2 linked regions of the Rattus norvegicus genome follow. The protein of the gene in region 1 purifies or fractionates together with the protein of each later gene. This does not show direct contact. Links are inferred from orthologs where the notes say so. Each region holds a gene or a part of one and is shown in the gene's direction. Other genes may lie near its edges. The genes, in order: Git1 and Grk2.

Region 1 (4,479 bases):
TTAATGCTGGGGCCACCAAGCCTACAGACCTTTGGGTATGAGTGCAGCACGGGGTGGCATAACCATCACCCTTTGCTGTCAGAAGCCCCACCTGCTGAGCTGCTGACTGGGCGGGGGGGGGGGTGCAAGATTTTTTTTTAAGGTGAGATTATAAATATATCCTGTGGATCGCAATTTCAAACAAACTTGTCAATCTGGGTTGCAGCAAAAGGCGATGGAACTTAGCGTGTATTTTGGGTGGTGTGACTCATAAGCATTGCTTGTCTCCCCCTAGGGAAGGAGCCTGCCCACCCACAAGTCACTGCTGCTGTGCCACTGCTGGGAGAAATAGACCCACTCAGGCACCCCTATCCAAGGACTCCTCCCAAACCTCCGTTTTATTACTGAGCAGGAATCCCTGACACCGAGGGAACTTTCCCTTAACTATGTCACTACTGACCTGCCTCTCTCCCTATGACCTGCCCCCCCCACCTGGTGTTGTGTGTGTTTTTGCCCTCTCCATAAGCTGAGTGCTCTGACAGCCCTTTTGCGGCTGTAGGGGTGGGGGCTGGGCACAAACGGGTCACACGTGTATGGGGGAGCATGCTCAGTGCGGGGTGCACCCACGTACAGCATGCACTTCAGTTCCTACCCCCCCCCCTCCATGAGAAGTCCAAGGAAAAAGATCCTTATAGAAATTGGCCCCTGTGTGTTTTAAGCGTATGCTCAGGCTACATATACACCCGTTGGGCGGCCCAGAAACGTCGTTGATGCACATGAAACAGATAGCAAGTTAGAGCTGGTGCACACACCACAGTGGTCACTCTTAATAACCACCTAGACTCTTTGCTTTCCTATTTGAAACAAGAATGATGTATTTTTAGTCCCTCAGGGAGGGAGTCACACTTAAGTGACCTCTCGGGCACCTGGCCGTCCATATTGGTGGTAGTGAGTGCACTCCACAGGGCTATGGCCACAGACCCAAATGGACACTGACTTGGACACAGAGGGAACCAGAACACACACCTCACCCCAATCCAGCCTCTGACAGCTAGAAGTATTGTGCCTGGGGATGCTTCCTGTCCACCGCAATCCCCACCACGTCCGTCTCGCGGTTACTGGACCGAGAGTCCCCTGGACCACTCCCCAATCGGAAAGTGAAGGTCAAAGTGCTAGCGAGTGTCTCGGTTGCAGACCCTGCTGGAGCGGGCCGCGGCTCCTTTAAGAACCCCGGTCCACTCCCGCCTGCGCGCAGGCTTCCTTTCTCCGAGAGGCTCGGCCACAGAGCGAAGCGGAGCGCCGGGGCGGGGTGCGGGCCGCCCCTCCCCCGGTGGGCAGGGCTTTCGCTGCTTCCTGCAGGAGCGGCCTGGGCCGCGCAGGGGGCGGGGAGAGCGGAGAGCGGCGGCGGGGCGGCGCGGGGCGGCGCGGGGCGGAGGGCGCCCGAGGGCGAGCGGGCGGGCGGGCACGGCGGGTTCCGGGCCAGCCCCGGGGGCGGACGGTTGGCCGCGCGCGGAGCCTAGCCGGGGCCTTGCGGGAGCCGGGCCGGGCCGCAGGGCCGCCGCCGCCGCCCGGGCCCGCCGCCCGCGCCCCCCACGCTGGCCCAGAGGGCTGCGGCCGCTTCGCCGCTGAGGATGTCCCGGAAGGGGCCGCGAGCGGAGGTGTGTGCGGACTGCAGCGCCCCTGGTAAGCGGCGGGACCAGGCCGGGGGCGGGACCGCGCCGCAGGCCGCCGCCGCCGCCGCCGCCGCCGCCGGACGGGCGCCGAGGCCTGGCGGGAGCGCCGTGCGGGGCCGGAGGGCGGGGCGGGGGCCACTGCGGAGCGGCGTCCTTGGCGGGAGGGCCGGCTGCGGGGGGCGCTGTGCGTTGGAGCCGGTGGACATGGGGGGAACCGCCTCCCACCTCCATCTCGGCATCCAGACGGAAGCGCCAGCCTGGTGTGTCAGGAGGGCTGTGGCGGAGGCCGGCAGGCTGTGGGAGGTGGGCGCTAGTATGGTTTGTGTCATCCCTGCCACCCCCGCGTCTTGCACCTGCTGCTCACATGGTCCGCGTGCCCGCCGGAGCGGTAGAAGGCAAGGGGCCTGGATATGGGATCCTAGAGAGCACCTGACAGGGGTGGCTACTCTAGGACTCCAGCCCCGGCTTCCCAAGGCTGGGGCTCCTTGGAGGGCCCGGTGTTCAGGGACAATCTAAGCATGGGCATCTTCCCCGGAAGCATCTCCAGGCCTGCTAGTGGCTGGGAACATCTAGACTCAGCTTTTCCTGTTCCGGGTAGGCCTGTTGGAGAAGGTGTGCTAGGTATTGGCTCAGTCTAAACACTGATCCCTCCTGGTTTCTAGCTCATTGGCCAAGTGGTGAGGGGTGCTTAGGCTCCCCTTGTCCGGCTGACTCCTGAGGTGACTGGACTTACACACTGCTTCCTCCCTACTAACCAGCAGAGTCAGTCAGTCTGAGCTGGTATGAAACCCCCCTGGCTTGCTGAGGAAGTGAATGGAGGGCAGCAGTTCACCAGGCTGATCCCTTCTGTGGGAGGACACAGCAGGTGATGGGACTCAGCAGCTGGCTGGAAGCAGGAAGCTCTGGGCTTTGCCCATCCTCTATAAAAGAAGCAGTCTCTCCATACAGGCTTGGGGTCTTGTGGACTCTGGGCAGTGTAGATGTGATTAGGTGAGAGTGTGGAGTGCTGGTTTGTGGGCCCGTACCTTGTAGTCACCCCTTAAAATCCCAAGATCTGACTGTGAGCCCAAGGAATATGGTCCTGTAGTTCTTGTGGTCTACACTGGAGTGTTGGGAGTTGTGGGTAGCTGGCCATGAGCCATGAGCATGGGATATCTTGTAGATGACTGACTCCGAGACCTCCTTAGGATATGTCATGTTTTACAGACGGGTGTCCATACCCCTAGTTAGCTGGAAATGACCGCTCCCTTTCCCTGGCCAACATCAGGAAGGCCTTGATTCAGGTAGTGCCTTTGTTTCCAGCTTACGCTGTGAAGCTTTGCTCACTCTGGGATTTTGAGGACCCTTGCATTTCCCAGTCTGTGTTCTTGCTTCTGGAGCAGAGGCCTGAAAGATAGAGCAGCTATCTTTTTGTTGTCTGTGTCTGTCTGGCCAGAGCCTCTGGACACCCAGTCAGGGCTGGGAGGAACAGGGTGTGTTAGATGTTAGGCCACTGAGCTCATAGCCCCCATCCTCATGTGACCGGGGCAGGCCTGCCTGAGGACTCTCTTTTCTCCCTCTGATGCAGAACGCAGGTGACCAAGCTGAGGGGCAGAATGTTGGCATTCTCCCACCTTAGCGCCCAGCAACTACTCCCCAGGTACAAGTGCTGGTGTTTGTCAGGACTGCCCTATACCACACTGGGTCTGGCCGATCATGACATTCTTGATCTGAGCCTATAAGCATCCCAGATAAGAAGGCTTGGCATTCTCGTATTCCATGTATGTGATGTATGAGAAAATATAACTCATCTATTCATAGATCCCAGGATAGCCCAAAGTCACAGCGTCACTGTGATAGACCTCTGTATTGCCCAGGTATGGCAGCACGTGCCCTTAAACCCAGCACTTAAGAGGCAGAGTCAGGCAGATCCCCAGGCCAGCCAGGGCTATGTCGTGAGATCATGGGGTGGGGTCATGGAGTCTCTTGTAGTTTATTAACTCAAGAGTATAAGGGAGGTAAGAGGTGAGACCCACCCTTCAGAGACAGGTACGAATATGTTGCAAGGCCTCTGGACACAATGCACCTGCTGTGGCAGCTTGTGCCACCTCACCAGGTGCCATGCCCCTGCCTGCCTTGGAGTCTAGGACAGAACAGGAGTTGGGGTGCACTGAAGAATGTCAGTTATGGCTGGGGATTTAGCTCACTGGTAGAGCGCTTACCTAGGAAGCGCAAGGCCCTGGGTTCGGTCCCCAGCTCCGAAAAAAAAAAGAACCAAAAAAAAAAAAAAAAAAAAGAATGTCAGTTATCCCCTTTCTCTTCCTCTGCCCACTCTGCCTCATCGCCTTGGTCCCAAGCACTCTGACCCGGCTCCCAAGTGTTCACTTCCTAACCCTCAACCCACAGCCTTTAAGTCAGCCTTACACTTTGACAGACTGGGGTAAAGACCTCCAGATACCCAGCCTATAAGTGACCAGAGCTGGGGAGTATTCTGCAGGGTAATGTACACTCAGAAGTCTTCTTACAAGGACAAATGGGTAGACTTCTTGCTTTTGGGGAGGAGGGGTAGGGGTGGTTAGGCCGGTTCCTGATAAGTCTCTTCTATGTGGTCCTGGCTGTCTTGAAACTCACTTTGTAGACCAGGCTGGCCTTGTCTACAAAGACATCCACCTGCCTCTGCCTCCGCCATCTGAGTGTTGGGATTAAAGTTGTGCATGAGCACTGCCCAGCTGGCTTTTGCTTCTTGTATTGGGTATAACTCAGTACCGCCAGGTGAGTGAGTGTCCTGTAGTCTCTATAACTCAGTACAGCCAGGTGAGTGAGTGTCCTGTAGTCTGTCTATCTTTTT
Region 2 (4,436 bases), on another chromosome or scaffold:
TCCCATCAGATCTAGATTTGAGGACAACCATTCTGTTCGGAGCCTGCATCAGAGGGCAGCGGTTATAGGAATCCTGAGAGATGGATAGGTCAGTGGTGACATAGGAGGGGGGGCATAGTGGCAGGTGGGGAAAAGCAGTCTGGGTTTAGACCTGGCTGTCTAGGGATGCCATCCACTGACACCCCTCCCCCCCAGATTTGTTTACACCTGAAGTAGTCAAGAAGTCAAGGGAGTGGGGGTGCTTATTTTGTTGGACATGAGTTGATAGGAGAATTAGTTTCTAAGTGTCCAAGACTGAAGTGGGAAGACTGGGTTGAAAGTGTCCTTGGAAAGCAAAGAGGTGCTCTAGCTTGAGACCAGGTCTCACTGTTTAGCCCTGGCTGGCTTTGGCTTTACAGAAATGCACCTGCTTTTGCCTCCCATGTGCTGGGCAGACAGAGTAGGAAGGAGTTGGCTAAGGAAGAAGGCACACAGGAGGGATCAGCGGGTAAAATGCTTGCCACCAAGCCTGAGGACCTTGAATTCTATCCCTAGAGACCTATGTGGTAAAAAGAAAGAACTGACTGTCAAATTGCCTGTCTTCGAACCTCCGTCTGGGCATACACAATAAACAAACAAACATATAAACAATAGGTTCGGCCCTCATCAGAGTATGGTTTGATGGACTATGCCTTTAATCCATTTCAGCCTTTGGGAGCAAGCAGATCTCTTGGGCAGCCTGCTCTACATAGTGAGTTACAGACTAGCCGAGGCTACACGGGTAAACCTCTCTAAAACAAGAACAACAACAAATGTTCGTGGTCAGGAGGGTGGCCCAAGATCTGAGTCTGGGGTCCTGTTGGGAGTTTGAAGTCCAGGATTGTCATCCAAGGTCTGCGGTCAGGTCAGGTCAGATGATGATCTTGAGAGAATGTTCAGAAATTTGAGTATGGGGTCTTGATCGGTGTCAGGATTCTTGTTATGATCCACGGTCTTGGGTAAAGGCCCGAGTAGGAGCGTGGAGTTTAGCATCCGGAGATGCGATCAAGTTAGTGGCCATGGCTTGGGGTCTTGGGTCGATCTGGTGCAAGACTCAGGTAACAACAGTCCAGGACTGAGACTCGTGTCCCGGACACGAGCGGTGCGGCCTCTAGGGGGTGCTGCGGTCCGCCCGCCCGCCCGCCGCCCGCCCGGCTCGGCCCCTCGGCGGCTCGCTGGCGCTGTGCGCGGCAGGCGGGGCCGGAGGCGGCGGCGGCAGCTCCGGGGCGCGGGCGGGCGGGTGGTGGTGGCGGCGGCGGCGGCGGCGGCGCCCCGACTGCAGTCCCGGCGGGAGCGGAGCGCGAGCCGGGCCGGGCCCGAGCCGGCGCCATGGGGCGGCGCCGCCTGTGAGCGGGCGACGAGCGAGGACCGGGCGGGGCGGCGGCGGCGCCGAGGCCGACAAGCCGCGCGGGCCGGGCCGGGCCGAGCGAGCGGGAGCGGAGCGGAGCCTCGGGCGGCGGGAGGAACAGCGCCGCCGCCGCCAAGATGGCCGACCTGGAGGCGGTGCTGGCCGATGTGAGCTACCTGATGGCCATGGAGAAGAGCAAGGCCACGCCGGCCGCGCGCGCCAGCAAGAAGATCCTGCTGCCAGAGCCCAGGTGAGCCCGCCTGTGCCGGGCCCCACGCGCCGCCCCGGGATACAGTGCCCCAGGGACCCCTCTCTCCGTCCTAGGTTCCGGGGACCCTCTGCCCCAGGACCCCACTATCCCGGCTGCCCCATGACCCAAGAACCCCTTCTACTCCGGGGACCTTCTGCCCCGGAGACCCCATTATCCTGGCCGCCCCAGGACTCAGAGACTTCCTCTGCCCCTGCCGCCGCAAGCTTGGTGTCTGTGAGCACAGAGCGCCCCAAGTCCAAGCTCCTAGCCGCGTTCCCCGGGCCGCCTTGCCGCTTCCTGTATCTCACTGCCGGGCCTGGTCGCTGTCAGCCCCAAGCTCTGCTGCAGCCTTCATTCCACCCTGATGCTTGGCTCTGCCCTCTACCCTCTGTGTCCTCTTGTGGTTCCCTTCCTCAAGTCTGCCTCTGTTTACCCGATTGTATCACACAGTCTGTTGCTCCTGCTCCCAGCACCCACTCACCCCCGTTGGTGTTCACTACCCTTATCCACTCCCCTTGGAGTGGGTAACACTCTTGTGAGGTTTGTGGAGTGAGGAGGACCACTCTGGAGACTTTTTTTTTCTTTTGCTTTCGCCTACGGTGGGGTCACTATGAGATTGGGTTTGGGAGTGTTTTCTGGGGACAGTGCAGTGTACCGTCCTTGAGGGCTGCGCTCGGGTGAGGGAAGTCCCTTCTTTACCCTTTTCCCCACATGTGGTTCCTTGTGGGTACTTTTGACCAGGGGACCTCCCATCCTACAGCAACTGGACGTGCTGCCACCTCTCTGCAAGACAACTGATGTCATCGCACCTGGTATCAAAGTTTAAACTGTCCAGGATGTGGGTGCAGAGTAGGGCAGGATGTGAGAGGTGTAGCTGGGGCTTGTCCAGTATACTATGGCAAATAGACTTATCTTCCCATGTGAACTGCTCAGGAGATCAGAGAGTGAGTGAGGCAGGTGTAGTTTTGTTCCCATAGAACAAGGTATGTGTGAGAGAGCTCAGACTTGGATGGCTTGTATAGTGTCACCTGGGTTATCCACAGTGGCACCTGGCCTCCACATCAGGGCTCTCAGCTTCTGGTTTTATGTTTCATCCTGACCTGAAGGGCCTGGATGTCCTGCATCTGGAAGAGATGTGTCCACCCACCAGGATGCCACATGGTGGGTGGTGAGGCCAGTCCCTCCAGTTTCTTATACCAACCCCTTTAGCAGCCAAGAACTGGCCCTGATTTTACTGCCATTCTATGTCATAGGACATGGGGCGAGTTTCCCCCCCACCCCCAGTGGGCAGTGTGAAATAGGCCTCTAGTGGCCTCAGTCCTTAGAGTGGGGTGGGCAGCTTGCAGGCTTGCTGCTGTGCCTCTCACTGGGCCCCTCCTCCAGTGGCTGCACACTGGGTTTCAGTTTGACTGAGAACGGTGCCCAGTAGAGGAAAAATTGGTCTGTGTTTTGAAGAGGCCGTTGGGCCCCCCTTTTTTCTAAGACATTTGCAATCAGATTTCTCAAAACAGGAACTAGACTGAGTGTCAGCTGGGGCTGTCTAGGGGCAGCAGCAGTTAGGATGGAAATGAGTTCAGAAATGACAAAACTTAGAGGGAAGAGTGGGGGAGGTGCAGTCAGCATCTAGGGTACTTGTTGAGCTCTCCTGGGTAGCCACAGCTGTGGGATTCTAATGCAGGTGGGAGGTCTGCAAAGTTTGAGGTGGTGCCTTTTCTAGAACTCTCCATGTCTGGATAGTCTTTCCCCAGAACGAATTGCTCTTAATGGATGCCCACCTCAGGTCGTCTCCCCTGCTGGTGTTCAAGAACCCTGACAGATGATGATCTGTACCTCTCTCTCTTTTTACCTTTTCATATGGCGGCAGCTATGATGTGATGCGATCAAACAAGAATGGAAAGTTTAATAATTCATTATTTATTTTGACATCTGTCATCTCAGTTGATCCAAAAACCAACATGTGAAATTGGCAAGGCCAACAGTTACCAGGATGGGGTGATTTCTGTGAGCAAAACTGAAGCTGGCTTGCAAGTTCTAGGGAACGACACCACAGGTGCAGGGTCACCATCAGTCGTACATTGTTGGGCCAACCGCTCAATCTGTGAATGGTTAGGAGCCTCTAATTCTGGTCACTGGTGTGCTCAGAAGAGTCGCCTTGCAGTAGCCATGGCCCTAGGCATGCATGCTCCCCCACCCCGCCCCCGCTCCCGTCCCCCCACCCCACCCCCGCCAGTGATGGAAAGAAAGCAGGTCCCCTTCATGGTGTACTTTGCGCACTCTCAAGGCAGAGATCTCTTGCCCTTGAAGGTGGTTACCATCATGTCTCAGGTGTGCCCAATATGTCCCAATGTGTGGAGTGTCTTGTCTTCACAACTCTGGGACTCTGGCTGGCCCAGCAGACTGCATTTCTCTCATTTACAACCGAGAGGCTTTGAGGCTTGTCACATAGAAGCTCTGGGATTGGATCACAGATCTCTGGAGTCCTGACCACAGTACTCTTCCTACCTGTGCTTTGTCTCTTCCTCCCAGTCCCGTAGAACTGCTTTGTGACCAGAATCTGAAGCCACTTGTCGTGGGAGCTTGTGGGTCTTGGGTAGTGGCCTGAAAGTAGCAGGGCAGTTTCTGGTATCATCAGTGGTTACAGTATACAGGACCCAAGCCCTTCGCCAGTTGCTGAAACAGAAACAGGCTGCCCTGGCAGAGCTAATGCACAGATAGAAGGACAATCCCATGCCAGGGCCTCCATTAGATACAGGTCCTGCTTCCCCACCCTGAAGCTAGAGCCAGGTAAAGAAGCAATGGGGTTCGTTCCTGTGCCCGTAT

The links.
Region 2: the proteins of Git1 (region 1) and Grk2 purify together in Homo sapiens (affinity purification with western blotting; 4 studies listed by BioGRID and IntAct, with this or other methods). This does not show direct contact. The link is inferred for Rattus norvegicus from reciprocal best matches to the Homo sapiens genes GIT1 and GRK2.

The regions. Positions count from the first base shown.
Region 1 is NC_086028.1:62,838,836-62,843,314, forward strand, and holds the start of Git1 (ARF GTPase-activating protein GIT1), read left to right. Parts: upstream 1-1,558; 5' UTR 1,559-1,610; coding exon 1,611-1,662; intron 1,663-4,479. UniProt on the Homo sapiens protein: GTPase-activating protein for ADP ribosylation factor family members, including ARF1.
Region 2 is NC_086019.1:211,027,946-211,032,381, reverse strand, and holds the start of Grk2 (beta-adrenergic receptor kinase 1), read left to right. Parts: upstream 1-1,368; 5' UTR 1,369-1,503; coding exon 1,504-1,616; intron 1,617-4,436. UniProt on the Homo sapiens protein: Specifically phosphorylates the agonist-occupied form of the beta-adrenergic and closely related receptors, probably inducing a desensitization of them. Key regulator of LPAR1 signaling.